Linked DNA regions of Arabidopsis thaliana. The protein of the gene in region 2 interacts with the protein of the main gene of each other region in a pairwise test. Each region holds a gene or a part of one and is shown on either strand. Other genes may lie near its edges.

The links.
Region 1: the proteins of AT1G61980 (region 2) and AT1G74840 interact in a two-hybrid assay, tested with the Arabidopsis thaliana proteins (one large-scale study listed by BioGRID).

The regions. Positions count from the first base shown.
Region 1 is NC_003070.9:28,110,843-28,127,160, forward strand, and holds AT1G74840 (Homeodomain-like superfamily protein), read right to left. Parts: upstream 6,581-16,318; 5' UTR 6,476-6,580; coding exon 6,193-6,475; intron 6,030-6,192; coding exon 5,821-6,029; intron 5,665-5,820; coding exon 5,359-5,664; 3' UTR 4,601-5,358; downstream 1-4,600. Other genes in the region: BOR5 (HCO3- transporter family), read left to right, coding at 28-307, 409-528, 633-692; AT1G74820 (RmlC-like cupins superfamily protein), read right to left, coding at 1,040-1,723; AT1G74830 (myosin-binding protein, putative (Protein of unknown function, DUF593)), read right to left, coding at 2,627-2,832, 2,929-4,351; PTAC2 (plastid transcriptionally active 2), read right to left, coding at 8,395-8,728, 8,829-8,933, 9,025-9,339, 9,638-11,472; AT1G74860 (uncharacterized protein), read left to right, coding at 12,590-12,604, 12,848-13,024, 13,748-14,758; AT1G74870 (RING/U-box superfamily protein), read left to right, coding at 16,251-16,318.
Region 2 is NC_003070.9:22,901,090-22,918,421, reverse strand, and holds AT1G61980 (Mitochondrial transcription termination factor family protein), read right to left. Parts: upstream 10,405-17,332; 5' UTR 10,261-10,404; coding exon 9,004-10,260; 3' UTR 8,264-9,003; intron 7,829-8,263; 3' UTR 7,544-7,828; downstream 1-7,543. Other genes in the region: AT1G62010 (Mitochondrial transcription termination factor family protein), read right to left, coding at 1,289-2,536; AT1G62000 (uncharacterized protein), read right to left, coding at 4,485-4,931; AT1G61990 (Mitochondrial transcription termination factor family protein), read right to left, coding at 5,725-6,969; AT1G61970 (Mitochondrial transcription termination factor family protein), read right to left, coding at 12,453-13,709; AT1G61960 (Mitochondrial transcription termination factor family protein), read right to left, coding at 14,810-16,183; CPK19 (calcium-dependent protein kinase 19), read right to left, coding at 16,481-16,567, 16,671-16,770, 16,852-16,979, 17,054-17,221, 17,302-17,332.

The DNA.
Region 1 (16,318 bases), 5.2 Mb from region 2:
GATCATGTGATTGTTTTTTGTTGTTAGGGTCTTGGAAGGAGCGCATGCATCGTTCGTGGAGAAAGTTCCGCATAAGTCAATCGCTGCATTCACGCTATTTCAGATACTCTACTTTGGGCTTTGCTACGGAGTGACGTGGATTCCAGTGGCCGGAATCATGTTTCCGGTTCTTTTCTTCCTTTTAGTAGCCATCAGACAGTACCTTCTCCCTAAGCTCTTTAAACCAGCCTATCTCCGGGAACTCGATGCGGCGGAGTATGAGGAGATCCCTGGAACTCCTAGAAACCCGCTTGAACTGTCTTTCAGGGTGAGTCAATGTCTATATAATATGTACATTCTTTTTATTCTTGATATTTGTCTAGAGTAGTTTAAAGGATTGAGGTTTATCGATTTAACCCTGTTTTAAAGTCGAATAACTCGGCGAGAGGGGTCCAAGAGTGTGATGCTGAGATTCTAGACGAGTTAACAACGAGCAGAGGCGAGCTCAAAGTCCGTACACTCGGTCATAACGAAGACAAAGGCCACCAGGTTTTATTCTTTTTTTGTTTGGGTAAAGAATCTGTATATAGATCGTTGAGTTGAATCTTAGACTTTGTAAGAAGAATTTCATAGACGATCATGTTAACATGCAGATATATCCCAAGGAGATAGTAGAAGTAGGGGATGGGGACATGAGTTCTTCGAGAGAGTGATCTATCAACAAAATAACGATCAAAACCATTTTTGCAAGTGCACATCATGATGGTGGTCATGTGCAAAACATAGATGATATGTGGCTTTTATTTTTTCCTAAATAAAACCCAAGAAGATGTGTTTATCATCTTGTATTTTTCTCTATATATTAACTTTTTTCAAAACTTTCCTAACTAGTTGGGAACTTGGGAGGCTAACGGTAACGGACTTATTATGATGAAAATAGAATTGCTATTGTAAGTATTACTAGATTTGTCCATAAAAAAAAAACACTGACTTTTGTTATTCATTTAAGTAAACTCATAAAAGATTACATTTTTAGAGGAACCATATAGAGACCATTATTTTAAGCAGTAAACTTTGACCTGAGCATGTTGATTGTTTTACTATCCGCCTTAAACGCCGATATCAATACCTCGTTTGGAATCGCGGGTTTCGTAGCCAACAGAGTGTGAGGCACACCAACCTCGCTAGGCAAGTCGTCAGCAACCACCGTCAAAAGACGGCATTGCGTTTTCCCAACGTTCCCCTCGTAATGAATGAGTCCCGGAGGAATCACAAACATATCACCGGGTCCAATAACCTTCGAGTACAACGTGTAGTTAGTCGTTAAGAACCCAACCAAGACCGAGCCTTCGATCACGACCCCTGCCTCGGTTACACCGGGGTGAGAGTGAGGTTGGTTGTATCCTCCAGGTGCAATTGCAACGTTATACATGGATATTCCCAAAGTGTTTAGGCCTGGAAAGGTCAAGAGATTGGCTGGATTAGCGGCAATACCTTTTGGGTTCGAGGTGTTTAAAGGAGTGTTCAAGCCGGAATAAAAGAAGTCTTCAGAGGTGACTTGTGACTTGCAAGGGTAACCACTGTTAGTTGGGGTAGCTTGGAGATCAGCTACACAAAAGTCTTGGAAAGGGTTAAGTTTTAGGGCTGGGAGTGAGAGAGTAGGGTTCGTGAAGAGAGTGATGCATAATGCGAGGAAGATTAAAACTATTGAGAGAAAAGAAGAGATTTGTGAAATATGAGCCATTGCTAGTGAGTGAGATGATTATGGTTGATGATGATAAATGACGATGTTAATTGGTAGATTATATAGCATTAGAGATTAGTTTTTTTTTGGATCGACCTTATAGCTTCATTAGACTAAAATAAGATGGGATTAAAGGAAAACACAAGAAAAGATTAAATCTTTATGAGTGTTGGGTTTAATTTTATGCAATTCTTTAATGGCTTCAATTTTTAAGCAAAGCATATATGGCTATGCCAAAATAAATTAGGTTCAAAATAAACCCTAGCTCACGGAGACCTAGCTAGTCAAGTGGCTAGAGCTATGATATATATATGGCTGAAACAAGTTAGGTACAATTAACTCTCGCTCCTTGATCACTAAATTAAAAATGTCGAATGTCTCCATTTATAAGTTGAAATATTTGATTGTACGTTCTCTATAAATAAAAATATAATAGTTTTAGTTTTAAAATTTGAATTATGAAGGAAAATGATATAATTTATTTATGTTTACATTTTGTATTAGCATTTAAAATTTGTAAAAAAGTCAATCCTTAACGAAATAATTTGTTTATGTTCAGTGTTAAGATTCATTTACACTCAACAAAATGTTTATGGAAAATGAAAATGTTATACCTATTTGAAATGTGAAAATATGTAAGAATATAAAAATCCCATCTAAATACAAACTCAAAATGTTATACCTATTGAAATTGTGAAAACATTTTAGAAAAATTTCACATCTAAATACAAATGCAAAACTGAAAACTTTTTTATTTTTTGGGTATGAAGTACAAAACTGAAACTAGGTTAGGTTCATGGAGCAAACTGAAACTTTTTAATGTGAAAGAATAAAAGAAATGTTTTCAAGTTGAGACAAGGCGTGAAAGCTTGCTTGTTCTCTAAGAAATGGAAAAAAATTGTATTACAAGTTCATGGATTCAGAAGGCATAGCAACAAAACTACGAAGCATGTGCAAATTCTGAGATATCTGCAATAGAATTGCTTCTCCTTCACTAACATCCAAAACATCAGCAATGTGTTTCAATAAATCACCATTTGATTGAAGAGTACTTAGTCTCTCTGTGATCTCTGAAAGCTCTTTTACTATCCCTTCTTTGCTTTCACTCCCTGCCCAATTTCATAACAACAACACAAGATTAAAAAGGGTTTTTAGGATCAGATTAAACAACACATAATGATCAAACTTTGAGTAAAGAATCATACCTTTTTCTTCATCTGCAGAGACAACATTCTCCGCGGTAGACTCCTCTGACCTTTTCGATTGCCCATTTTGATCGATGTTTTCGCCATTTTCCTGCTGATTTGAAGAAGAGACAGCCAAATCCGAGACTGGTTTGGTTTCTTGGCAATCATCATATGCACTAGCATTGCCGTTTTGTTTATGAAACTCTTCCCTTGCATCTTCTTGATCAGTCAAACATCCATATTTCTCTCTGTAAACCTCAAATTCAGCTTCAAGCTCCTTCATTTCCTCTTCCCTCTTCGCCAATTCACTACTCATAGACTGCAAAGCTTCTTGGTCATACTCTGCTTGTTCATCCATCATTCTTTGGTACTGCAAAGCCTCCATTTGAACAGCAGCTTTCTCGGCTTGAAGCCTCGTGATCATAGCCATCGCTTCGTTGGCTGCAACAGCTGAAGCACTTCTCTCTTCATCTAACTCCATATATAAATCAATGAGTGACTTCTTGTCCAAGCGAACCTCTTTCTTGAGCTGATTAAGAATGGATTCACCGGTTGGATCTGTCGTGTCCGAAGCATTCTCTGTCTTATTCAAAACGGATTTCTTAAGAGATCGAACGGACCATCGTGGACTGTTTTGCGCCGAATCAGACAGAGGGATCCCAAAAAACTTGTTACCTCCTCTTACAAAACTTGGTGTTCGGTCCACATCCATATCCTTAAACTCAGATTCGTTTTCAGACAGTTTGTTGTGCGATACCCTAGGAGAAGGAGCAGGAGCAAGGAAAGAATTGTTGTTCTTCGGTAACTTCTCAGATTTTATCTTCAATAATTCTCCACAACACGAACAATGTTGCTTCAAGCTATCATTTTTAATGTTGTTAGTCTTGTAATCCACCAGATTTTTTGTTGTCTGGACTAAATTGTCGTCTTTCTTGAACGCCAAGGGAAGGTCTCGTTCATCGTCAATGAGAAGCTCGAGATCTTTATGTAAGATGCCAATGAGAGACTTATAAGTATCACAGTCAGAATCTTTCTCGGTGGCGAAAGAGAGAAGACATCCTTCACACATATGTTTAATCTCAGAGAGCTTCTTATGGACATGGCAATAAGCAAGAGAAGATACTTTCTTCTTGTGAGAGTCGCAGATTGACTCGTTGTAATAGAATTGAGGGTCTCTAGGGACGAGAATGTGGTCGATTCTGGTGCAGAGAAGACAAGGAATGTTGAGGTCGAAGAATTTGGCGAATTGGTTTGACAGAAAGGCGATAACGCCGTCGATGAAGAGGAAAACAATGAGGCTCCATTCAAGAACAGTGTAGATGAGGAAATGAGGAAGAGATCCGAGTTCTTGTTCCACAAATTTCTTGAAAGAACGTTTAGACATTGTGGCTTGTAAAAGCAGAAACAAGAACAAGAAAAAACAGAGCAATTGTATATACATAGGAGATCGAATTTTGGTCAAAGATCAACAAAGAACAGAGATCATGATCTATCTATCTCAATCTTTTGTGATTTGTGTTTCTATTTCTGGGTTTAGAGAGTCTAGATTGGGCTGGAATTTGATGAGATAAAGTACCCAAAAACAAAGGATAGTCGCAGATTTGAAATTGATAAATTTAGAGACAATGTCAAAAGACAGAGAGATACAAAACAAACAAAGATAAACTGGATTCGTTTTTTTTTTTTTTTTCCCCGCTTAGACGTGAGGAGAAGTTTGTCGTTGACGCTAAAACTGAATACAACCATACACGACAGAAACAGAGGACATGCCAACACACACATGACATACACATATACATCATCATCATATAAAAATGATGCTGTTTGATTGGTCGATTAATGAATGGGGATCATGTTCTGTGATTGGAAGATTATTGCTTACGCAACAGGGGTAATATGTAATCATCCCACACAAAATATATTAAAAGCATCTGATGGGAAAAGAAAAAGCTCCACTATGATGGAAGTGACCAATAAAATTTGACATTATTGGCATCATTAAAGATAATGACATTATTCTACAAACATAAAATATCTTATCCTTGGAAATCAGATATATTATAAAAACCCTAAAACCCCATGAATCATCTAACATGATTTAGATAGCCACATGATAAGCAAGTACTACGACTCTGTTTATGATTGAGATCATGAATAAAACAAACATAACGTTAATATGATTTATAAGTTTTGATAGATCCACACGAATGAACTTAGAGAGTATTACAACAACTTCCAAACATGGAAGGAAAAACACAGGATGATTATGAACCCTAAAACCCCACTTAAGTCCTATCTCCAAACTCTGTTTATTATTCTTCTTTTCAACAGATTTTTTTTAGCCAAATACATAAATTTGACGAATTTTTTTATAACAAAGTCAAGACCTATCTGTACAGCAAAGAAACAAACAGGGTGTGTTGCAGATTTTCACCTTTAGGATAAGCTCTAAGCGACTCCAATCGTGTTGAATGCTGGATGCATTGAAGGAGATGGTTCATTAAGATTAGATGAAGCTAGTGAGAGGTTGAGAGAAAGCGGTGCTGGACTTGACTGAAAAGTTAATGGAACCAAATTGATGAGATTCGATGAAGTAAGCTGTCCGTATGATTGATTCCCTGTTGGTACCGGGAACTCGGGAAAGACTTGCATAACCGGATGTATAGAGAAGTTGTTGATTTCCGGTACAGGAGAAGATGATTGAGATGTGTTCTCCTGTATAAGCACTTGGTGATCTTCTTCCATGGGTATGACCTGATAACAAAACCAAGCAAAATCAGTTTTGTTATACTTAAGTTTTCACTAACCAACAATTCACAAAGGCTCTCTATTAGTTTCTTTTAAACAACTAAGCTAAAAACTAAACCTAACCACTTAACTTACTAGAGTCACAAAGGATTAGAGATTTACCGTATCAGTAGTCATGTCAAAAAGGCTAGATCTTCGGCGGCGACGGTTAAGATTACTTCGCCTGAGGAAGTATTTCTGAGCATGACTAGCAACTTGTGTAGAGGTTCTGGTCTTGACAAAGTTTCTTGATATTCCTTTCCAATCTCCTTTACCGACTCTCTGCAGCCCAAGCAAGAACAGCTTGTGTTCTTCTTCAGTCCATGGAACTCCTAAGAAATAGAAAGAAACCCAATAAATTAGCCATCTTTCTAAATCCAAATGAACATAAAGTTGTTCATAGTCCATTTCTCAAACCATATCTAACAAATCCCTAAGTTTAAAGTGATCAAATTTATGGAATGATAAAAAAAAGTTTCAATCGAAGAGTAATACCTCGTTTCCTCTCGATTTTGCCGTTAGAAGAAGACATGGGAAGAGCTTCATCCGCCGAGGCGTAACCGGCCGGGGTTTTGTTCATATCTTGTTCATCTCTATCTTCGCCGTCGATCTTTGGAGTCTCCGCCGTCTGTTCATAGTCAGACAGATTGTTCAAACTCACGCACTTTCTCATCGGGTCAAGCACAACCCTGACTCCGAACAGCATAATCTCTCTTCTTGTGCCGCTTCCAGCGCAGGCGGTAGTGGACTCCGAAGAACTAGTACTACCGTCGGCCATGATAATCTTTCCGATTTTGCCCCTTGTGCTTTCTTTCTCCTAAAGAAGCAAAGTACACAGAGCAATGGGCAATGGAGTGGTGTGAGTTAGATCTGAGCTTCTTTGGGGACCCTTTTATAAGCCAAAAGCCACGTGGTTCCTTTTTAAACTATTACATGTTGTAGGTGTTGGTGACGGTACCATATGACACGTGTTTTGTTTTTATTCGTCTGTTCTTGTATTTTTTTCTTACCTGCCTGTCTCTCTACAGAGTTTTCATTTGGATAGACTTTTTTTATTCATTGGCTGACTAGATTTATTAGGTTTTTTGTTAGTAGTTTAATTAATCTTATAGGATGACGAAAAAAGAGTTAAATAAATGTTATCCTATAATAAGAAGTTAAAAAAGTATTTCGCTATGTCGACCAAAAAATGTAGGTCGTATAACGAAGAAATATTTATTGACTTTCGCAAACTCAAAGTTAAATACAAAAAAATGAAATAACAGAATGAGAAAAATGAAATGAAATCGACGCTTTTATTTTTCTTAACGTTACCCTCATGTATTTTTATGATAAAAATCTACAGGTTATAATGTACTGGTCAACGCAATGTCTCTAAGGCCTAAGCGCATGCAACTTGAGCTTAGAAAAATAGTCAGCTTCTGAAATGATTCTGTACTCTGCTCTAATAATCTATTTAGTTACAGCTCCATCCTTGTACTTTTTTTTCTTCTAAAATACTATATCTTGTGGATCTATGAGTTGATTATTAAGAAAAAAATCTTGGGAGACAGGTGAATCCTTTTTGGAAATTATAACTTTGAATTTCAACACAAAAACTTACAATTTCAGGAATCTAATTCAACAACAAAAATGATTGTGTAGTCGAATTTGTCGTTTTCTAGCTAAGAGTAAATTTTAAGACGCTGTTAAGGACCTAATTGTAGTATAAACAGCATGATCGTATGTCCAGACTTGATCACAACTATATAGCATTAAAAAACAAAAAGGTGATAGTTTTAGTCTTTTAGTAGAATGTTAGGATGTGATTTGACTGTAAGCAATATGATCACATACTATTATTATTTATCTATTTTAGATTTGTAGGGAAAAGATTCTAAAAAGTATTTACAAAATTTGGTAAATAGTTTTGGAAGACAGCAAAATCACACAAAGCACTAGCATCGGTTAGAAAGCAAAGCCACCATTACTTTTATGCGCACACAAAGTGGAATCTTAAAGTTGTAATGTGTGAAGCACTATAGGAAGATCCTTTCTTTCTCCAATCTTTTTCTTATTTTATTACCAATTTGGATGACAAACTTGTAGTGACTTTCCTAAATCAGAAAACAAACACATATCTGAGGACGAGAGAGAGAAAAAGATTAATCAGACCGAAGAAGGAATCTTGCACAACAGATTGTTTTCTTTATTCTGGGTGGAGTTGGGTCATTGCTATGTAATAAGTTAGATTTCGAAACAGAGAGAGTTCATCAGGTGAGGTCACAAGCAAAAACTAGAGCTTCCCTGAGGAATCTTGATTAATAGATCCTTTAATTGTAACTAGAGCTTTGATCTTACATTAGCATTTAGCTTTATAGTAATCAAAAACATAGTTGAATGGAAAAAAAAACGAAAAAAAATCTATGGCTGCAAAATCATGGGTCTAACAATCCATCAAAACACTTAGTTGGCTACTTACTTGAGATTTTCATATAGACGCTTCTTCATATAAACTAAGATCACCATTTATCTTCTTCTCCAGCTTCTTCTGTCTAACAGAGGTTGACTCTACTGCTTGAAACCATAGCATAGTTATCATGGATATGGAGTGCTTGTGAAATACGCCCACAGTTTTCACCCACCAGTCTATATGGAGGAAGGCAGAAGAGGCCTTTGATTTCTGGACTTGGCAACAGAAACTACGTTGTCTAGTTCTTAAGCTGTGCTCCCTGCTAGTTCTTTTTTCGTCCTGGTTCTTCGTTGTGTAGGGTTACCGCTGTGGTTCGTGTCACTGCTTGTTGAAGCTCTTGTTCCAGCCGCAAATATTGGCGAGTTTGCTAATGCCACTAGGTTTTTATTTTCGGATTCTTCTGAAGTTGGCTCTTTCGTTGACAGTAACTGCTTGAGCTGAGATCGCTGGCACATAATGCGACCTCCATTCCATCCCGTGAAGGAAAATGAGGACGAGACATGATCCTGCAAGAAGGAGAAAGCAGCTTTCGCGATAGGAGATTCTCTTGCAGCAGAGCTTTTCTCCAACTGTCCCCGTCTGAGAGGTTAGAAAGAAAGAATTAAAAAAGGCAAAAGGCAAGATAAAAAGCTTGAAGGCATCTTGCAATGAGGTAGGTACCCAGTATCAAAATACTTACACTGAAACAACAACAGCTAGTTGAGGAAGATCTCCCTTTAAAAGCATATCATTTATATCATTTAGCCAAACCGATAGTGCTGTATACATGCCACCCTCTGACATCCTGCAGAACATTGAAAACCAAGAATTAGATTGACTGGTACTCAACCATTTCATACACATGAAACGAAGCCAGTGTAGGGATCTTAGGCTACCTATGTACATCGACAGACCACACAAGTTTGTTTTTCCGGAATAACTCAGGGAAAAGTCCACGCTTTGTTGCCTCATTGAGTACTCTTGCAGCTCGCTCTTTCTGGCCCAGCCACCACAAAGCATCCAGAAGTGCATTGTAAAACCTTATTCCCAAACCACATCCTTCTGAATTGAGTTTGTCCAACACGTATTCCACTATCTGCCAATTTGAGTCATCATCATAATCTCCCTTGATCATTTGCCCAATAACTTGATGAATATTTGATACTCTATTTGAAAGCATCTCCTCCAATAACTCATTGACATCGTCCCACCTATAAACCAAAAAAAAAATTTGAAGTGTTGCTTAAAATCTTAAGATGTTATATACAAAACAATGGCTAAAGTTACTGCTTATCCAGAACACTCAAGTTAGCTGCAAGAAAATTAACTAGGGTGCTACATTACACTAGCATATCTCCCCCATGCCTGACCATGTATAGACAGAAGGCAACTGAAAGAGCAAAATGCTATGATGATGGAATAAATCATCATGCTTAGTAAGGTATGAGCTATAAAAATACACGCAAAAGAAAACATCAGAAACCGTGTATTACTGGCGAAGGCACTAACCTCTCCGTCTTCCCATAAACAGCTAGCATCATACAGTAGCACATGATACTGGGCAGTATATCAGAAGCTTTCATCTCCTCAAACTGCTCTCTGCACTCATCAACAAGCCGCGCAAAAGAATACACACTTAAAACAGCCTCAAGCGTCCTTTCATCAGGATCGCATCTTGACTTCTCCATATCTACATATGTCTTCACAGCCTCTTCAAATTTGCCTCCTTGCTTGTACGCTTCTATCTGTGCATTGAACGTATCTCTGTTCCTGGGAATACCAGAATCCACCAACCTGGACAAAATCGCCTCAGACTCCTTGACCAGTCCTCCCCTTGCAAACGAATATAACAGTGAGTGGAATGTTTCAATACTTGGATTGCTTCCTACTTCATGCATGGTGTTGAAAGCAACAAGCGCTTCTTCATATAAAGCAGCCTGCCCAAACGCTTCAATAACCCCAGTGTACGCCTTGGAACTTGGCACGATATCGTTAGCTGTCATATATTGTAAGATCTTCCTAGCATCTTCGTGAAGTCCCCCCTTCCCACAAGCAAATATTATACCCTCATATGTCTCCATGTCCGGTTCAATATTCTCCTCCACCATATCATGGAACAAAGTTACCACCTCCTTAAAATACCCCCCTTCCCCAAAAACCTCAATCAAAATGTTATATGTAGCAGCATCAGGATCCGTATTGCTTGATTTCATCTCAAGAAAAAGCTGCCTCACATCATCATACCTCCCACTCTGTCCAAACAAATTCAGCAAAACACTGTATGTATTTGCGTTCGGCGTACACCCTGCAGCTTGCATCTGATGGAAGACCCCCATTGCCTCCTTAATAGACCCGGATTTCGCATATGCCTCTAACAACACATTATAAGAAGTGATATCCGGCAAACTACCGCCGGAGGCCATCTCGCCTAAAAGATCACATACTTTCTCCAGCCGGCGTAACTTCCCAAATGTCTCAACTAGATGACTATATGTGGTTAAATCCGGAACAATCCCACCATCATTCATAGTCCTAAAAACCATTTCAGCCTCATCACCTAAACCTCTAATAGCACAAGCACTAAGCAGTGTATTATAAGTCACGATATCAGGTTGTATCCCCTCATGTCTCATCTCTGCAAACAAACCCAATAAACCCTCCCAATCTAAACCACCTCTAGCACAAGCATTAATCACAGTGTTGTAAGTCAAAATACTAGGTGATATCTTTTCATTCTTCATCCTATCAAGAAGCTCAAGAGAAGTCTCATACCGTCCATTTCGACCATAAGCATTGATCAAAGCAGTGTAAGAGAAAACGCTGCGGGACACACCTTGGCTAGGCATTTCGTCGAATACCTCAAGACATTTATCTAGTAGACCTTCTCTACCAAGCAAAGAGATCATAATAGTGTAGATATGCTCGTTAGGTTTGCACCATATCTGCCGTTGCATATACTTGAAGAGACGAAGCGACCTTTGCCAATCGCCGCGACCAGCGAACTCTTTGAACACGAGTGCGAAATCGTTCAACGAAAGCTTGTTTTTGAATATGTCTAAGCACCTGGCGATGCTCCCGCGTGGTGGGAGACTGCTCAGCTTGTTAATCAGCGATTCGACGTCGTAGCTGTACTTTCCTTTCTCCACGGAGACGGAGGGGTTCCCGAGAACGAGATCTTTAGTCTTTGCTTTGATTTTACCGGAGAAGGAGCATGGTTTACGATTTCCTCCTGAGAGGAAACGGAGACGGTTGCCGTCGGCGAATCTCCGGTTTCCGATGAAGCTTGAATTCTGGATGAGGAAGGAGAGGTGGTGTGAGTTGGGATTTGGAATTGCTAGGTTCATTTTGGGTAACTAGAGTTCACATAAGGATTCAAAAATCCTCCAGCAAGTGAAACGAGATTTTCTCGGGAAAATCGCAATTCGATTTGAATTGAATCAGAGATTTAAGATTAACGGCTAAGTTACTAGTCACCACCAAGCTCTAGACAGAAACGCACGAATTAAGATTGGCAGTAGAATAGTTTAGAAGAAGAGATTTTCTCACCCAAAAGCTCGCTCTCTAGGTGAAATGGCGGAAAAATGGAAGAAGAGGGAGGGGCTTGAAGAAGACACGTGGATTCTTATTGTGGATAACAGTCTCGAGTAATCACCCGGTCATTACCCGGTTTAATGATTACTTCCCGGTTTTAATTGGTTAACTCGATATTTTTCGATCAAAAAAAATTGGCGCCTAAAATTGCAAGAAAAGTAGTATTAGTGTACACTAGTAAATAGTAGAATACAATTACATTGGTAATATATGTTGTAAACTAGACAATGTTCTATAAGTCGGTTTAATTGTCCATCCATCTTCTAGGCAATCGAAACTTCAAAATCATTTGGATATCTTAATTTTGGTTTAATCCCATGAGCTAGCTTCTTTTTTAGCTGTCTACCATTTTTTTTTTCTTTGAATGTATCTACCAAATATGGAACATTATATCATGTCTCGTATTGGAATAGTTGATACAAAATTCAATAATTAGAACTAGCTACAATATAGTCTTTTGTTTGGGGTAAAAGCTACGAAATCTAGTGGTCTAATTGTCTAAATGAGGTAAAAATTAAAAGTCCAGTGTATTTTGAAATTGTAAATTTATCACCGAAAAATGTAAAAAGCAAAAGAGAGATTACGAAAAGAGTGACGGAGATAACGGGAAACCGTACCGCCGTTTGCAGTCTGAAATGCTGAAGCTGACGTGACGTGTGGTGTGGCGTTTGAGAAATAACATCGAGTTTTTAGGGGTAAATAGGTCTTTATACTTCTTTCTGTTCCTAACAGACAGACGCTTCAAGGAAACACAAAAAGAAACAAAAAAAAAAAAAAAAACCTTTTTAGCTTTTTCTTTCTTCTTGGCGAGTTCGCGACCTTGGTCGGAAAATCAACAATCGCTTCTCTGCAATCGCATTATCGGCTCTAATGGCAGACCCAGAGGTACAATTACCTTAAACCCCCTCAATCTCCTCCTCTCACGAGTTCATTTTTTTCGATTTCGGATTTTTCTTCGTTTAGTTTCGTTCTGTTTCTTCTAGACCTTGTTTCTCTTATCGGACAGAATCTTGTTGCTGATTTCGCTAATTTTGTTTAAATTTTGGGTTTCACGATGTGGGTTTTGTCTTGCTTTTCTTTTCGGGGTTTGCGATGATTTTTTGTTCGTTTTGTTTTGGGTTAACACAGACCTTAGCGGCGTTGAAGAGAGCCTACGCCGATACGATACTGAACACGACGAAGGAAGCGGCGGCACGTGTGATGGTTTCTGAGAAGAAGGCGCGTAGGTATCAGCAAGAACTTGTGACGGTTAGAAATGAAGCACTTCATACGTTGGTTAGGCTTAAACAGATGCTTGATTCCAAGGTACTATCACTTTGTTCTTATTTTCATTTGTTTATGGGTTCTTGGTTTGTTTTATTTGGTTTCTGCCTGATTATGTTTTTGGGGTCTTAGAGGCATTTCTTTTTTCTTGCTTCATATGAAGATGGCTTTTGAAATTAAGTTTTTCAGCCTTGCTTTCATGGTTTTAAGCATTGTTAATGTTGTGTGTGTGTGTGTGACTCTGAGTTTTGTTTATTCAGTCTTTGACATTTGAAGTGACTAAAATCTTCCATCATTCAAATGATATGCTTCGAGACTATCATTTTTGCTATGTTTTTTCACTACATTCACTTCATTGAACGTTGATACAAGCCATTGTTTTTGACACTCTTGAGACTATTACATTGATACTTTGCAGATATAGCTTTTCTCTTCCTCCATTGATATTTGTTCATGAAACCTAAGGCCTAAAACTAATGAGCGTAACCAAGTGTAGCTTAGTGTCAGCAAGTTCTAGATTCGTTGTACCATTGTTGGCAGTGAGGCTTACACATATTTCATGGCTTATGCTCTCAATTCTCATTTCATCGTGAAATTTTTAAGTTAAAGGTTTTTCAGTGTGGGGGATATAGCTTTTTCATCTTAGAGACTGTATCACGTTTGCTTGAGGATGAGCTTTCCCTAATGGAGTATATCTTTCTTTTGTGGCTGGCTTTGCGTTTCCTCCTCAACTCTAATTTTTAAAAAACCGATTTGTGTTTATAGGTTAAGGAGACAGAGATGCAATCCTTGAAGCAGCAACAGAAGGTTGAGGAACTTGAAGCTCAGCTTGGAGAAGCTGAAGATATTGTAGGAGAGCTGAGGTTGGAGTTGAGAGTACTTCACGATGAGCTCAAGAAACTTACGGATGGTCAGAAACATCTTAAAAAGAATCATGAGGAAAACCTCTGTTGGAATAACCGTGATGCTGCAGTTTCTGTAATGCCTGAGGTTTCTTGCAGTCACGAGAACACAGAAGCTGTAGGTTTTTGCATCCCAGTGGAACAAAATGGATCAGTGGTGGCTAATGGGATAAAAGTACCGTCTTTGACTCGCATAAATAGTATTAACCGGTGTTCTTATAAAGATAACAAGGATCAATGTCACTACACTCTTCCATCTATACTGACAAAACGCAGGGAAACTGAAGGTTTAGCTCAGATGATCCACACAGTAGATAGCAGTATGGCCAATGGGGTTCTGTCTTCCTCTGTAGAAGTAGGAGATGTGAATGATGGAGTATGTCTTCACGAAGTTTCGTCTTGTAAAATTGTAGAGAGCTTAGAAATGTCTGGTTGTGCTGATGCTACTGACTCCATATCTTCTGTTAAAGATGGAGAAGCCCCAATAGTGTCTCCAAACTCTTCTCAGAAGGATGTCGGCACTCTTATATCCTTGAAAACATCTCCTCCGAGGGAACATGAAAATGACAGAAAGCTGGAGATTAGCGAAACAGAGGCAAGGAAGGAAGAAAAAGAGAGCTGTGAGAATATGGAGGTTTCTGCATCTCCTTTGTGCGAAGAAACTCCAGTTTTAGCACTGAGTAAAAATCGGTGCATCAAGTACACGTTCAAGAGGAAGAGAAAGAAGGAGGTCTTAAGTAATCTTGAAGGAGATTCCTCGTTTGAGGAGAGTAGAAACATGAAACAGAAGACTGTTGAGAAAGACGATGGTTACTTGGAGTCTCTGAAGCCTAGCTTTACCAGTGAATCATCTAGAGATGTAGTCTATGCTTAGCACATGTGGCTTGGAAGGTTAGTAAATATCGACATACATCTAATTTGCTATATCATATTAAGTTTATTATGTTTCCTTCTTGCCTTTAAACTTGAAAGTGTATGGTCTAAAAACTGATATCAGTAGCAGTGCCCTTTTGTTGCATTATGGTTTTGGGTGTAAACTCTTGTCCATTGTGATGGGTTTATATATATATGATGTCCAAGATTCTGAATGTTCTATGTTTCTTTATTGTATTTTAATGGGCACAGCTTGTACCATTCTCGTAGAATAAAGATTTGCAGCAGAACTAATCAACCAGTAGGATGCTCCAGCAAAATGGTTATAATCATCTAATATATAAGGATAGGTGGAAACTTTAAAATTCTTACTTACACCTGGATGGTGTAAGACTAAAGAGCTACCATTGTATTGCTTCCATTTCGTACCTATGTAAATAATCTTACGTAGAAGTCTTTAGCAAATACTAGTTTTTGTGACTTGGTCAAAGTTTATTCATGGAAATTTGGACTTGCGACCATGAATCATGGACTAAATAAGGAAATGTTAATCAAATAAATAATTTGACTCAAGAGATTGCGATATCTATAAATGCGAGTTTGTTCAATCTTCTGTTTAAAAAGTTAAAGACCGTTTCAATATAATTACCGGCTTTACTTCTACGTAAAGAGTAATTAAGACTTACGGAGGACTTATTCTTTCAATTCTTTTGTGAAAATATAAGAATTTTTATGATCATAAATAATATATTAATGATCATTTAAGGAAACATGATATATTTACTAAATAATCTATAACAGTCTTAGATTCAAGACAAATAATATTTTTGATTATTTATGAAACCCATTATATATTTTCTAGATAATCTTAAAATTAAGAATCACAGACCTTAAAAATCAACTACAGTAAATTGTTGAGCTGTGTTTTAAACACAGTAGAAGGTTCCCTTAATTAATAATACTAAAAAGGTAACTATTGTATTTAGTTCCTTTATTATTCAAAATTCATTAATTTTTTCATTATTTTATTTTCTTTATCAATACAAACACATTAACAAATATATCTAGTTTGCTTAATTATTTAAAATGCATCCCCTTTTTTCCTAATCTTGTTATGGGAAAAAAACTCAGTCTACATGCCTTGTAGTCCAAGTTTCATTGACAGACCAAAAAAAGCCATTAGACTAAAAAAAATCCACTAATTCGACGTCGTTTCAGCCAATCAAAAATCACCAAGGGTATAGTTTCGTAAATTAAAAGTCAAACCAGGGGTAGTTTCCCAAACGAGATCCTTTATATACCGTGTACACACAAGCATTTGGTTCTCCGAGCGAGAGACTGAGAAATAGAAGGAGCGTAGCAGAGCAGTTTCCGATTTTCATTTCTCTCTCTTAATCCAGATTTAAGTATTAGGGTTTTTTCTTCTATCATCGCCATTACTCTCTCTCTCTGTTTCGCTTGTGTGTGTGTGTTGCTCAAAGATTATCATCATCATGGTTGCTGTCACAGACTCTGAACTCTTTCATGGCTCTCCGATTTCAACAGATTTCTCCAAGAAACG
Region 2 (17,332 bases):
GCTTCGAGACGTACCAGCTTTGATTAGGTTATAACTTGGGACAATCCTCTTCTCCAGCCTCTAGTTGCCACTGGTCAAGTCAACTTCTTTCATCAAATTACAATGCACTCAAGATAGCGCTTGATCATCATTATGCTGAATCCTAGGCCTATACATGTTTTAATGGAGCTCACTCGACACCATTGTGAAGTCATCATTATGTTGCAGGTTTGATGAAATTTGAAGCTTTGGAATCGGTTAGGAAGTGTAATGAAGACACTGTCTCCAACAGAAGGACTCAAGTGGAAAACGAAACTCTAGACTCTAGTGTTGCCCTCCTTGGCAAGGGATAACACTAAAAGACCTTGAATTGATTAACTACACCTATTTGCTTTATATAGATGGATCAACCAAATCTTTGTGGTTATGGATTCCATGAAGATTAACACTCATCAAACAAACACTAAAATTATTCATCCTCGGCTGCTTTACCACAGTGCTTCTTGTTAACAAATAACCAAAAATATCATGTAGTAAATAGTTGTCTTCTGTTTCTAGACTTTTAATGTTGAAGAGTTAAAAAAAGCTAGTAAAAAAGAGTTTAACAATTACAATTTGTCAGTCAGATTGCATACAGAGATGGATCAAGTAAATGGATTGGATATATCAATAGACTATAAAAGTCTTTTCTACTTATTTACCTTATTATAAATCCTCAACTAGCTTTTCTACTCTTTTCTACTAGCTTTTATAGTCTATTGATATATCCAATCCAAGAAGCTTGAAGATTTATAATCTCACTTGAAAGATTATTAGTTTGAGGCTTGATGGAGTTTGAAGATGTAGCAGAGACTGAAGAGTTGGAATTGGGTTGAACAAGAAGGTATGAAGTATACTGAAGACTCTAATACAAACTTAAGGACTCAAGTAGAAAAAGCAAACTAGGAATTTGAATAAACCGTTCCATCGTTTGCGAGTGGATCTTACTCCTCAGAGTTGTCTACCAAATCCTGCGAAACAGGAAAGATTTCTGCCACGAAACTAGTAAAATGAAATATATCATATGCTCTGTTTAATTTCCAAAACAGAACAAAGCACATCACAAAGATCTTAACCATAATTCATATCAACAAGACAAAGAAAGATAATTGTAAAGATTTTTTTCATACAAGACTGATTCATCATCCTTCAGGGTCAAAGGCTTAGACACTCATACACAAAATCTATTATCTACTTCCAAAAGTCAAGCAACAAGACTCACTAATGAATCTAAACCTAACAGAAAACAAAAAACAATCCTTAACGTTGCTCATTGTTCTAGGCGTGCCTTCTGATCGGTGAGTGAAACACGATTTCCGGTGAAGATTGCCATCAGCTCAGCCACAAGCTGCTTGTCATCATGTTTGCTAACATACAAATTTAAAAACGACTCACTAGTACTTGTCAAAACAGAAGACATTGGAGGGAGTTCACTTTCAAGCAATCCTTTTGACATGAGAACTTTGATAACATTACACCTTGGGACAGTCCTCTTCTCTAGGCTGTATCCAAGTACCTGAGGGATTGAAGCCACAGCCTTTACTGGCCAATTCATCTCCTTGACCAAAAACTCAGTCTTCTTCTTCACCGCCTCTGTAGAATATCCAATACACGGAGGAAACCGCTTGAACATCATCATAAACACATCTCTGCTGAATCCTAGACCTAGAAATGTTTCTATAGAGTTGGCTACCTTCTTCTCCGAATGTGTCAAAGAGCGTGGCCACTTCTTGAACATTGCCCATACATCATCAACAGAGAAACCTACACTTCTATAGACTCGGATTTTTTCTTCAATCGTTTTGTCGCTCATTTGGTAAAGCATATGCAAAGCGTGCACAAACGTTGAGGTGGTTGGATCAAAACCCATCTCAACTACCTTCTTGAGTGATGCATCAAACTTTTCTTTTCCACAAACAGGCTGCGATTTGGAGATGAGCAAAAGCAGTAACCGCTTTTGAGGCACGCCTAGTTCTCTCAAAACCAAGATATTTCTGATCTTGTTACCCTGTGCCAAAGAATGAGATATCTTTTCATACTTGGAACTCTTATCAGCTTCTATAATGACTTTGATGAAATCATAATATCTGCTGAGAGATTTGCCCTCTCTCTTCCCCAAGATTTTAGGAACTGTGGAAACAACCTCAGTGAGCTCAGAGCTTGAAGCTCCTCTGGACTGCAAAAACTGAAGCTTTGAACCAAGGGATGTCGCATCATTGTCTATAAGCACTCTTGAATCACTCCTGATGATGCTGGAGATCTGAGAATCAGTGAACCCATAACTTCTGAGAAGATCCAGAACGGAATCAGAATTTCCCTTGTCAGTGAGTTTTGTAGCTAAACGCAGTGAATCAAGGAAGGACGAGGATTTAAAGGTCTCCCCTTTAGGGCTCACATCAGCAGCACTAGCAGAAGAGAACGAATACGAAGAGAAAGATTCATTTTGCAAAAGGTTCACTGAAACTCTCAAATGCAACCCCACGAACCTTCTAGCAGCACCGAGTATAAGAGAATTCATGAGAATGCAAAGCGATTGCCTTTAAAGCGTTAAACCGATTCTAGCGAATTATCTGATTCAATTCGTGCCCGAGATTCTCAGAAACTTTCTACTTTCTTACTAAGCAACGAAGAACACGAAATCGATTAGTAAAATTACTGCACAGATCCAATATCGGAGAGGAAAGATAAGATTTTTAGGGTTTTAGTTCTGGACCGGTTTAAGGACAAATCAAATATTGATTTAATTGGTTTACTTTTTGGTTCATTATAACCATTATTTTTGTGCATTGTTTCCAACTTTCTAACCCAACGGTCACATGTACTACAATCAAAATTTGGACATTCACAAAAATCAAAATTTGGAGAGAATTCATAATCTCTTGAGTGATGCTAATGACAGGAGCATCACTCAAACAGTCAAACTTCCTAAAATTATGGACATGAACAATTGAGATAATATAAAACATGACATCTATATTAGATGATAAATAGCAAAACACATAGTTAATAATTGTTCAAAAGAACATTAAAGTCAATGGAATGAAACAAACGAAGATGATGCAATTTTAACAAAATACGTATGAAATGCGGATACTTCTTCAACACTTGAAGGACTTCGTTTTCGTTCAAACCACATATCTTCAAGGTTTCAATCGTCTGACTTATCTTTTCCTCTGAGAATTTCAAAGAGCAAGGCCACTTGTTGAAGATTTCCCACAGCAAAGCCTAACCTTTTCTTCAATTTTTTTGTCGCTCATTTGGTAAAAGACGTGGAGAGGTTTGACAAACTTTAAAGTGGTCGGATCAAAACCAATCTCAACAACCTTCTTGAGTGATTCTTCAAATTTTTCCGCTAGATGAGCAAGGGGAACAACAACTTCTGAGGCATTCCCAATTCTCTCAAAACCAATAAATTTCTGGTTTTGATCACCTGCTTACTACCCTGTGGCAAAGAATGACATAGCTTTTCATACTCGGAACTCTTATCCACTTGTATGAGAATGTACAAAGAATGCTATAAGCAATGCTTGTGGTCGGTGGATATTTGAGAATCAATAAAGAGAAGATATAATGTATCATTCAGAATATTATAAATTTTGCTATCATTTATATATCATCAATAGCCATTACAGAAAGATAGTAGTAGCATTTCATGATAAGTAAAGGTGACAATCTCTGGTTTTATTTATGATCAAGAAAGAGATTGTGAGTTTGTAGTTTGTAGGATATTATTAATATATAGGTTTGTACAATAACCATGAGATGACCTCACTCTCAATCCTTTTTTCCTTTGCCCTTCTTCTTCTCAGAGGAACCCTTTACCCTGGATTCGGAACCTGTGGCACCACCTGCAGAAGCAGCAGCAGCTTTGCGATTCGCTGCAGCTTAAGACCCTCCCTTTGAGGCAGCTTCATTGGTAATGGCTTCTCTAAGATGTCAATAAAATCTGGAGGAACCACATGCAGATCTATTTTGATATATAAAATTTGAAATTTATTTTTGATGTGAATAGAAGAAACAGAGATAACGAAACATTACCATTTCATGACAACTATATTCAGGAAGAAATACTTTAAAAAAATCCCAAGTCTTTACGTGCATACGAAGATGAAGAAGAAACCTTAGCTTGTTACCAGTTTCAACCATTTTTCTCTTTGGTAGTGAGTGATTAAATTTAAACCTCTGTTGTTACTGAGAGTCATCATGTTCTTGACAAGAATATTAAGTGTTCTATATATATATTTAACATTACTGAGGAAGATTAGTATAAGATTTATTGCATTTATTTTATTTTTAAAAAAGCCATTACATGAGAAAGAGTAGCATTTCATAATAATATATAGAGGTGACAATCTCTGGTTTTATTTATGAACAAGATAGAGATTGTGAGTTTGTAGTTTTTAGGATATTATTAATATATAGGTTTGAGGAATACGCATGCATGAGAATATGAGAGCACCTCACGCTCAATCCTTTTTTCCTTTGCCCTTCTTCTTCTCAGAGGAACCCTTCACCCTTGATGCGGAAGCTACCTTACCGTTTGCACGTGCAGCAGCAGCTTTGCGAGTCACTGCAGCTGCAGCATCGCCTTCAGCGGCAGAAGCACTTGTAGAAGAAACTCTTGCCTTGCGACCCTTGGCAGTGACTTGTCCGCTGGTAAATGTGTTGGCACTTTCGAATGAATTGGCCCCTGGACCTTTGGGATTGTTAAAACCATTAGCATAGCTAACGACACTGCTGGTGCTGTAAGTTGTGCCAGTTGCAGAAAGCTGAGCTCCAATGCCTTTGGTAGTAGTTTTTGGAAGAGAGGCCCCTAATTTGGTCTCCGTGGACAAATCTTTGACCTGCCTTGCGGTGACAATGGCACACAAAATGCCAATCACGAGAAGCACAACAAACTTTGTGGCATTCATCTTTTGATTTTTTGGATTAGATTGTGTTTGTGGTGAGTTGTGTTGTGTTCTTCTTCCCAAGTCATAGACCTCTATATATACAAAAACTCGATACACTTGTATTTATTATGATACATGGACATTTCTTACAAGAAATATACATAAACTTAAATTACGACTAATAGTCATACCAACATGTCAACATGATACTATTTTAACACCTCTTGCCAAGATCAAACACAATTTTATCTAACTAGCTAATATTATGAATAGATTGTGATATCCAATTAATACTATACTATAACTGTGATCTCTTATTCGAAAACCTCTTAATACAAATGAATTGAATTCATTTTTCCAACTTCTGACTCTCAATCCAGAAGTTAAGAACATATCAATTTTGATACAATCCACCAACTACAAGAAAGGTTCTAACAACGATCATTGAAATCCTCAATCAGAGTCATCCACTTTGATTCCAACTAAAGCTTCCTAAGTGAAAATATGAATCTGAAAATATAAATCATAACTTCCGCACAATAGAATCCAAACAGACAAGCAATTATGGAAATGACAAGGAAAAGTATTGAACTTGACACGACTCTCTTAGCAGCTCGTAACAAGTACTAAAGAGCCAATGTATCCATGCAACATTTTTGACATATCATGAATTCACTCATAGATACTTTAACAAAAGCTTTTCTTTCGTTTTTCCATTATCACATCATAAGATTCATCTAGAAATCTAAAACTGACAACAACAAAATAAGAACAAACCTTGGCACTGCTCATTGTTGTAGGTGTGCCTTCTGATCTATGAAACACTACCTTTGGTGAATATAGCCATCAACGTAGGCACCAGCTCGTTGTGCTTCATCACATACCTGTCTAAAAATCCTTCATCGGTACACGACAAAACAGAGGACACTGCAGGTAGTTCACTTCCCTTTCTGAGCAGTCCTTTCGACAAGAGAGCTTCGAGTATGTTACACCTTGGTATAATCCTCTTCTCCATGCTGTATCCAAACACCTGAGGGTGCAAAACCAAGGCGTTTCGTGGCCATTTCATCTTCTTCACCAGAAACTCATTCTTCTTTTTAACAGACTCTACAGAATATTCAATGCAAGGAGGATAACGCTTAACCATCATCAGAAACTCAGCTCTGCTATATCCTAGGTCTAGAAACGTTTCAGCCGACTTCAATATCTTCTTCTTGGAGACTTTCAAAACAGAAGGAGTCTTCTTGAAAATTTCCCATACATCATCCACAGTAAAACCTAAACTTCTAAAGACTACAACTTTTTCTTCAATCGTTTTCTCGCTCATTTGGTAAAGCATCCGCAAAGCTAAAACAAATTTAGTGGTGGTGGGATCAAACCCCATCTCAACAACCTTCTTAAGGGATGCATCAAAATTTTCTTTTCCACACACAGGCTGCGATTTGGAGACGAGCAAGGGTAATAACAACCGAGAAGGCATGCCTAATTCTCTCAAAGCCGATACATTTCGGATTTTATTCCCCTGAGAACCCTGTGGGAGTTCATAACTCGAACTCGTATCGGCTACTATAATGTCTTTGACAGCATCATAGTATACAGTAATAGATTTCTTTCCTAAGATTCTCGGTACTGTAGAAACAATCTCAGTGATCTCAGAGCTTGAAGCTCCTCTAGACTGCAGAATCTGAAGCTTGCGACCAAGTGCTTTCTTAGCATCTGCTACAAGCAATAACGGATAATCCGTAATGATGGTAGAGATCTGAGAATCTGTGAACCCGTAACTTCTAAACAGACTTAGAACAGAATCAGGATTGACCTTGTCCTCAAAGCTAACTTTCCTTGAGATGGATTCAGCGAGCTTTTTAGATAAACCCAATGAATCAACGAGGTAAGAGACTGTAAAGTTCTTCCCTTTTCGACCATCTCTAATGCTCACATCAGCAGCTCTAGCAGAAGAGAAGGAATTGGACAAAACAAATGCATTTTGCACTGAAACACTCAAACTCAAGCATTTCTGCGATTGGACCAACCTTCTTCCATGGAGAATCAGAGAATACATTACAAAAGACAATGCTACAAATGCTACAGTGTTGAAAGCTATTCCGACCCAACTACTCTCTGTTTCAATTCGAGAAGATGAATCGCGCAGTCATGAATCATAGATACCAAAATTTCTCTGGAATTACGAACAATAACAAGAAACTCACCATGAATCCGCTTCCAAATCGCGAAACCCTAAATCCCAAAATTTAGGGTTTATGTGTTGCTCCACCGATAGTAAACCTTGAAGAATTTCAATTATGATTCTTTTTTTTTCTCAAAAGAGTCAGGTGCCTGACAGGCCTGACTCGGCCCATATAGTATCACGGCAGGCGGATATGGACATTATGTTTCAAGCCCAAAACAAAGTTTGAGATCTTCAAAAATTGGAGGAGAAAAAAGGTGATCACACTATTTCTGAGATCTCAAACGATATCGGTTTGTTTTAAATTGCGAACATATGGTTGTAGAGCTTCTTCATTCACCAAATGTCATTTGCTTTATCTATTTAGGAATGACCTCAAATTGCATACTCTAGCCTCATTACGCCTCCTGTCATCTTCAGATATTGTTTCAGTTTGGTTCACTAGGATCTCACGTTCTGCATCAATTTAAAAGACTTGGTATTATTAACCAAGCAGAACCGGATTCATTTTGGTCTGGTTTAGATACTATTCAATTGTTGATCACGAACCAACTGTATGTATACCAGAGTACATTTGTAATCTGGTTACTGTCAACCAAATGTGATCCTACAAAATTAACATGCAACATTGGTGACTGCTCTGATGCAACATTAGTGACTGCTCTGATGTAACAATGGTGACTGCTCTATAGTCTGTATGAATAGCTCTCTTCAATAGTTTCTGGATTCATCACTGAAAAAAAAAGATATGAGAATCACAAACTATAAGAAAAAGTTCTCTGAAACATTTTTTCTGCGCCAAGAGATTCACCCTCAAGTTCCTATCAAGAACGAACAAATAGTTGATAATGTAATTTTCCTAGAATAAATAAGAGATTCAATTGCCAAAAGTGTTTGCTGAGTCCAAGTTGAAACAAGATTCTGAATTCTTCAATGATGAAAGAAACTTAACACAGTTTTGACGTACCATTGTAAACTTGTAGATTGCATTCTTTCAAGGGAACCATATCTCATACGTCTAAAACTCAATAAGATCAAGTAAAGGAAAAGATAGTTCTGATAGATAGCCTAGAGATATCGAGCAAATGCATTGAATGAGCACATTAATAAACAACCAACACATTATACTATCTCAATGTACCTATAATAACGCTAATAAGCATATTACCTTGCGAGTCAAAGAGAGAAAACTTGAGTATTCACTCCAGAGGTCGTTAGCCATAGCAAAAGCTCAAAACAACGTTCAACGTCCCAAGCTTCTTCAGCTAGAAGCTAGATATAAAGATTTTACCACCTTGGACTGGATGATTATCTGATTGATGTGTCCTAATGATGTAGGATAGGTTTCCAGTGCCCCTGACAATATATTCAAGACAATGTAATATAAAGCTCACAAAAAACGTGTACGAGTAAAAACCAAGATCACAAATCTGAAATACAAACATTCCACAAATCAGATGAATCATATGATCAAAGAATATATAAAGCAAAGACAGAGCTTACATGAGGACTCCAGGATCTCAGGAGCAAAGAATATATAAAGCAAAGACTTTATTGTACCATAAGAGGATTTTGGTATCAGTAGCTGTAATTTCAGTACTCCAATCCCAAAATTTAAAGAATAATGTGAAAGTAAACACTAACTGAGAAATAGAAAAGGCTTACATGACCAATTCAAGAATGCAGGAGCTGCATTGCATCATTCAAATCTATATCCGAACAAGGTCACAAAGAATTTGGAATTTAACTTCAGTAATATAGCAGAAAATGGATTCAAAACTTACAATTTCAAGCATCTATAGAGAGAGACAAACAGTTTGGATCGATATGAAATTGAGAACTAAAGTCTAAATTGAGGATTTCAGATATTTAAAGATAGAAACCAAAATCCTTGATCAGCCTTGTGATCTATGAAGCACGATAGATAGCCATCAACTCAGTCTCCAGCTGCTTGTCCTCATGCCTCTTCACATACCTGTTTAAGAACACCTGATCGGTACATACGAAGACACGCGATATCGAAGGGAGTTCACTTCCGATCAATCCCTTGGAGATGAGAGCTTGAACTACGTTACCCCTTGGGACAGTCCTCTTCTCTAGGCTGTATCCAAGCACCGCAGGGTTTGAAACAAGAGCCTTTAGTGGCCAATTCATCTTCTTTACCAAAAACTCAGTCTTCTTTTTAACCATCTCCGCGGATAATCCAATGCCCTGAGGAAAGCGCTTAATTAACACGCTAAACTCATCTCTGCTGAACCCTAGGCCTAGAAATGTTTCAATGGTGTTCAATATCTTCTTCTCCGAGTGTGTCAGAAAGTTTGGCCACCTCTTGAACACTGTCCATACATATTCCACATCAAAGCCTAACCTTTTATACGCATTGACTTTATCTTCTATGTTTTTGTCGCTCAATCTTTGAACAACGCACAAAGCTTCCACAAACTTTGAGGTGGATGGATCAAAACCCATCTCAACAACTTTCTTGAGGGATTCTTCAAATTTTTCTTTACCGAAGACAGGTACGTCACAAGAGATGAGCAAGGGGAATAACAACTTGTGAGGCATCCCCAATTCTCTCAAAACAGATAAATTTCTGATCTTGTTCTCCAGATTACCCTGTGGAAAAGGTTGACATGACTTTTCGGACTTGGAACTCTTATCAAGTAAAGTTTCTTTGATGAAATCATAGAATACGCTGATAGTTTTGTGGCCTCTCTTTCCCAAGATTTTAGGAACTGTAGAAACAATCTCAGTGAGCTCAGAGCTTGAAGCTCCTCTAGACTGCAAAAACTGAAGCTTGGGAGCAAGTGATTTCTCAGCATCAGCTACAAGCAATTGTGGATAATCCGTAACGATGGTGGAGATCTGAGAATCAGTGAACCCATGACTTCTCAAAAGATTCAGAACAGAGTCAGGGTTGTCCTTGTCCTCGAAGCTAACCTTCCTTGAGACCGATTCAGCGAGCTTTTTGGGTAAACCCAATGAATCAACGAGGTAAGAGACTGTAAAGCTCTTACCTTTTCGACCAACTCTAGGACTCAAACGCGCAGCAGAAGCAGAGGAGAAGGAATTGGACAAAGGAGACGCCTTTTGCACTAAAACTCTCAAATGACGCCATTTCTGTAACTCGACCAAACTTCTTCCATGGCGAATCAGAGAATACATGACAGAAGACAAGGATATGCGATTATGACCCAACTATCTATTTCAATTCGAGAAGTAGAATCACACAGTCATCCTCAAACTTCTCTGAAAATCACTCAAAATTTCATAAACCCTAATGATTTGCCAATTGGTATACGTCGTCCTTTAATTTATTCTCTTTAACAAAATTAATAAGGTTAATGTTACTGCTGGGATTCGAACCCAGGTCTCACCACTTGGCTACAGCTACAAAGAGAGTGTTTTATAAATTCCATGAATATTGTAGAGATGTGAAGATTTTTACTGAGTTTTCCAAAGACTATAAATGCATCACAGAGCAAAGTCATATTTTGATTTGAGGAGATTCTTAGAGTAATGATTTCTTACAAATTATGTCTAGTGAAGAGTGTGTGTTGTGTGTTGTGTACAGTTATCTTTGAATAACCAAGGAACCGGAGCTGGACTTGTCGTGACAACATTGAAGTTAAGTATATCATGCACGAGTTAAGGTCGGTTTGTTAGAACACCAAAGTAACAAGACAACAGAACTTAATGTCAAGCAACAACAGAAACTTCTTCATTTCATCATCCAAAACAATTTAAGAAACCCTCAAACGCAGGGCAAACAAAGCTTATCCATTTTTCTGGCTCTAACAAGTAAAAGTAAAAGGCCTTGGATTTTTTCCATAGAAAGCTTTGCTTTTTGGTTCCTCCCCGTGATTCTGCTAAAATGCAAGTCCTTTTACCTCTTCCGGAATACAGAGAATTAGACATCACCAGCACCCAGTCCAGAATAAGTTCATCAATGAGAGTATATGACGGTATCAGAAACTGTACAAAGATCATAATTTACCTTCAGTATACGAACCACCAAGCTTCTCAACAATAGATAATCCCTCAGCCAAAATATTAAACCCTCTATATAGCCACAGGACCTGCACCTCCACCTTTAAACCACCAAGCATTTTCAACCGATATTTCAACTTTTCAAAGAGCTATTTTGAAACATTTCTCATCTCTTCTGACTTCCTAATTCTCCTTTCCTTCTCAAGACCTGAATAGCCACAAATACGACTGCGAATAAGGTTTTCCGAGAAATATTTCTAGCAACTCACAATTGCACAGGTCCATCGCTGAGTAAACAAAGCTCTAAGAAGTAAAGTAAATGGCCTTCGATCATCCCATAGCTAAATTCAGGTTAAAGGTGCAAACTTTTATGAAAATAGATTCTGAATTCTTCAAAGATGAAAGGAACTTACCATAGTTTTAACTTTTAACGTACCCTTGTAAACTTGTAGATTGCCTTTTTTACAAGGGAACCATATCTCATATGGCTAAAAACACAATAAGACTAAAAAAAAGGAAAAGAGAGTTCTGTTACAATTAGTTTCCAGAGATATTGGGGGCAAATGCGTTGAGTGAGCACATTAATGAACAACCAAAGCAATACATTATCTCAATGATACCCCATAACAACGTTGAGTGTGAAACGGTTTCGATGATCATATCCTTCGATTTATTCAATAAACCTAGAGTAATAAGCTTGAGTGTGTACACTAAAAAGCATATTACCTTGTAGGTCAAACAGAGAAATAAACTTGAGTGTGTTCACTCCAATGGTCGTCAGCCATCGCAAAAACTCACCAAACTTCAAACCATCCAGAGCTTTGAAGTTTCTAGAGTAATAGCTAGATTCCAGATTTTACCAACCTGGATTGGATGATAATATGATTTATGAGTCCTAATGATGTGGGACAATGTACCATAAGCTCAGAAAAAATGAGTATGAAACGCCATAGCAAGTAAAGACCAAGATCACCAATCTGAGAATTAAAACATCTCACAAATCAAATGAATGATATAAAGCAACGACAGAGCAAGATTTTAATTATCATAAGAGGATTTTGGTATGACCAGCTGTGATTCAGTGTACTCCTATCTCAAAACTGTTAAAGAAAAAAGTGAAAATAAAGATCAAACACTACTTGAGGAACGGAAAAGGCTTACGTGATCAATCGTAGAACTCAAGAGCTGCATTGCATCATTCAACTCCATATCCAAACAATGTCACAGTGAATTCAGAAACTATCTCTGCTTTAGAAGAAATCAACAAACATAGAATTTGGATTCACATGTCCCCTGCAGCTCTTTGGCTAGAAACCTCAGTAATATATGGGAAAATTACAGTTTAAAGAGAGAGAAAGAGTTTAAATTTATGAAGCACGATAGATAGCCATCAACTCCGTCACCAGCTGCTTGTCCACGTGATTCGCCACATACCTGTTTAAAAACACCTGCTTGGTACACATGAGGACACACGATATCGAAGGGAGTTCATTTCTCATCAATCCTTTGGACATGAGAGCTTTGATTACGTTACCCCTTGGAACAATCCTCTTCTCCAGGCTATATCCAAATACCGCAGGGTTTGAAACAACAGCCTTTAGTGGCCAATTCATCTTCTTCACCAGAAACTCAGTTTTCTTTTTGACCGTCTCTGTAGATAATCCAATGCACGGAGGAAAGTGCTTGACCATCTTGGCAAACTCATCTCTGCTGAATCCTAGGCCAAGAAATGTTTCAATGGAGTCCAACATCTTCTTCTCCGATACTCTCAGCGAGATTGGCCACTTTTTAAAACTTGACCATACATCTCCCACATCAAAGCCTAAGCTTTTATAGAGATGGACTTTTTCTTCGATTGTTTTCTCGTTCATTTTGTAAATAACTTGTAGAGCTTCGACAAACTTTGAGGTGGTAGGATCAAAACCCATCTCAACAACTTTCTTGAGGGTTTCTTCAAATTTTTCTTTTCCACATACAGGTTGGCTATCGGAGATGAGCAAGGAGAATAACAACTTGTGAGGCATTCCCAATTCTCTTAAAACCGATACATTTCTGATCTTGTTCTCCAGATTACCCTGTGGCAAAGAATGACATAACTTTTCGTTCTTGGAACTCTTCTCAAGCAAAGTGTCTTTGATGAAATCATAGTATACGCTGATAGTTTTGTGCCCTTTCTTTCCCAATATTTCCGGAACTGAAGAAACAATCTCAGTGATTTCAGAGCTTGAAGCTCCTCTAGACTGCAAAAACTGAAGCTTGGGACCAAGTGATTTCTCAGCATCTGCTATAAGCAACTGTGGGTAATCCCTAATGATGGTGGAGATCTGAGAACCTGTGAACCCATGACTTGTCAAAAGATTCAGAACAGAATCAGGATTGTTCTTGTCCTCGAAGCTAACCTTCCGTGAAATGGATTCAGCGAGTTTTGTGGTTAAGCCCAATGAATCAACAAGGTAAGAGACTGTAAAGTTGTTTCCTTTTCGACCAACTCTAGGACTCAAACACGCAGCAGAAGCAGAGGAGAAGAAATTGGATGTAGGTGATGCCTTTTGCACTGAAAGACTAAAGTTACACCATTTCTGCAACTGTACCAACCTTCTTCCATGGAGTATCAGAGCATACATGACAACAGGCAATGCGATTACTACAAATCCCGAAAATAACAATTTTTGAAGCAATTCTACCAATCAATCTAACTCAATTCGAGCACAAATCTCAAACTTATGTTGAGCAGGGAAGACAAAAGACTCAATCATCGATCAGTGGTGACTCGTGCCGTTAAAGAGTTGATGAGTGATGGATCTTTCAAGGGTTCAAATTTGAGGAGAAGGAAAAAAAAAACGATTTTTTAGGGTTTATGATGATTATGATAGGCAAATTGATTTTAGGATCTGCTGATGTCAGCATTTTCTTATAAGATAACGAAATATAAAATGATCGGAGGGTTCTAATTATTGTTTTTAAAACATATCAATCTAACGGTTCCAATTGCTTTTGCTCTCTCTCTTTGCTTGGCATAACATTTTTTAACTGTAGACAAATCTGTACCTGCAGTTGCACGGTTGCACTGACCTAATGGATAAAGTCATTCGTTTAAGATTACGGTAATATGGTATGCTATTGAAACTGTAACTGAGAATCATCTTCCCTTACAAGAAGTAGCCAAAAGCAAAACCAGGAACACAAATGGTAAGCTGAAACTTTTGCTATTTATACAAAGGGACAAAGGTCACATTCGCTAAGAACCATGTAAAGATGGAGCGTAACAACTTCTTCTCCTCGGCTGCAACCTCAATGGAATGATATAACCAGAGTTCTTTATGATATCAAATCTGGAACCAAACCACTATCTTCGAAAACTTGCTCTTAGGATTGATCAATATATTGTAAGTTACCTGACTAACCAAGATATGTGCTTCATGTGAATGCAAAGAAGAACATATCTCCACGTTTCTAGGCCACTAAAAGAGTTCAAGACTCAAAAAAGATTGAAAAGTATTGCTACTTATTTTCAATGTTGGATTGTATATTAAAATGAGTCAAATTGAGATTACAAAAGTCTAAATAGGTATCAGAGATATATAAATGAAACTCCTCTTTTCACTTCTCATGGCCTGATGTCAACAGATTCATGGAAGAATCTAAAACTAACACAACAATACAAACCTTAATGATGCTCTTGTTGTGTGGTAGGTGTTCTGACTATATATAGAAGCTCCTCTTTTCACTTCCCATTTTCTCCAGTGAAGATAGCCATCAACTCAGGTGCCAACTTGTCGTGCTTCATCACATACCTCCTTAAAAACGCCTGATCGGTACTTGTTAAAACAGATGACATTGGAGGGGCTTCACTTCCGTCTTTCATCAGTCCTTTTGAGATGAGAGTTTTGATTACATTACACCTTGGGACAGTTCTCTTCTCCAGGCTGTATCCAAATACCTGAGGGATCGAAACCAAAGCCTCTAGTGGCCAATTCATATTCTTCACAATAAACTCAGTTTTCTTCTTCACTGTCTCAGCAGTATAGTCAATGCACTGAGGATATCGCTTGACCATCATCGCAAACTCATCTCTGCTGAATCCTAGGCCTAAGAATGTTTCTATGGAGTTCACAATCTTCTGCTCTGAAGAACAAATGCATTTTGGATGCTTCTTCAACAATAACAGGACCTCGTGTTTAAGCAGACCACAACTCTTAAGGGTTTCAAAAGTATGAGTTATCTTCTTCTCTGAGTATGACAAAAAAGAAGGCCACTTCTTGAAGATTGCCCATACATCAGCCACACCAAAGCCTAACCTTTTGTAGACATTGACTTTTTCTTCTATTGTTTTGTCACTCATACGGTAAATAACTCGCAGAGCTTCAACGAACTTTGTAGTCTCCGGATCAAAACCCATCTCAACAACCTTCTTGAGAGATTCTTCAAATCTTTCTTTACCACAGACAGGTTGGCCATCTGAGATGAGCAAAGGGAATAACAAACGCTGAGCCACACCCAATTCTCTCAAAACAGAGATATTTCTGATCTTATTCTTCTTGTTACCCTGTGGAAAAGAATGACATAACTTTTCGTAACTAGAACTCTTATCAGCTTCTATAATGTCTTTGACGAAATCATAGTATACAGTTATAGATTTGTGCCCTCTCTTCCCCAAGATTTTAGGAACAGTAGAAACAATCTGAGTGAGCTCAGAGCTTGAAGCTCCTCTGGACTGCAGAGACTGAAGCTTGGGAGCAATGGATTTCTCAGCATCTAATGCAAGCAATCGTGGGTAGATAGTAATGATACTTGAAATCTGAGACTTTGTGAACCCATAACTTGTAAGAAGACTCAGAACAGAATCCGGATTTCTCCTCTCCTCGAAGCTTACTTTCTTGGAGATCGATTCTGCGAGCTTTGTGGTTAAACCCAATGAATCAACTAGGTAAGAGACTGTAAAGTTGTTACCTTTAAGGCTATCTATAAGGGTCGCATCAGCAACACTAGCAAAAGAGAAGGAATTGGACAAAGCAGATCCGTTTTGAACTGAAACTCTGAAATTAGACAATTTCTGTAACTGGACCAACCTTCTTCCATGGTGTATCAGAGCATACATGACAAGAGAAAAAACTGTTACCGAACAAGAAATGACACGGCTTGAAAAGATTCTACCGAACTATCTGACTCAATTTTGAGAAATGAATCGCTAGTTGTAGACGACGAACAACCCTTTTTCGCCAAAAAAAATAATTCGGTTAATTCTTAAACCGAAATCGGTTTACGGAGAGTACAATACCAATGATGGACCAAAAACAAATTGTATGAGGAATATTATGGACAGTTTATTTATCCAAATTACATTCGAAATTTTATGTACTGAACTAAAAATGAATTAAATCGGAGATTATGGTCCTTAATTCGGTTGAACCAATTTTGATTGGTGTGATTGTGAGCAGCTCTTCATCATATTGCAAAACTCTTGATAATTTATACTTCCATCCTTTTTTAAAAACAAACAAAAATATGAATTAGAACATTTTAAAACTATCATTAAACTAAACAAATTGTGTTTGGTATTTTATAAATTGAGATATTCGACTTACATTATCAGCATCAACTTCTGAGATAATCTCTTTGATCATAATATCATCTCCCATATTATACTCTTTCATAGCTGTTTCTAATTCTTGTCTCGAAATAAACCTACAAACACATGTAATTTGGTTATTAATCCGGTTTAATTCTGGTTCATCAGTTTGGTACATATCGGTTTCCGACACATACCCGCTGTTATCTTTATCGAAATGTTGAAAAGCTTTGAACAAATTATCCTCTCTTTCTACTCTGAACCGGTTCATAGTAGCTGAAATGAACTCAATGTAATCAATAGTACCGTTCCCATCGACATCAGCCTAAACCAAAAAACATTAACCAAATTGATCAAAACCGGTTAGTTTAAGTTAGTAAAGAGAACAAAACGCCTTACATCTTCCAAGAGCTGCTTAACTTCGGTTTCGGTTAACCTCGAACCGAGTTTTTCCAGTCCGGATTTCAATTCGTCGTAAGTGATTGTACCGCTCTTATCGGTATCCATGTTTGCGAACATTGTCTTGAGACCCTTTAGTTCCTCTTCTTTGAGATTTTGCGCGATAAACTTAAACCAAACCAAATCATATTAATGAATCAAAACCGGTCTAATTTCATCAAGTAAAACGAAACATCAAAGATACTTACTTTAAATGCAAGCTTCTTAAGCTTATTCATA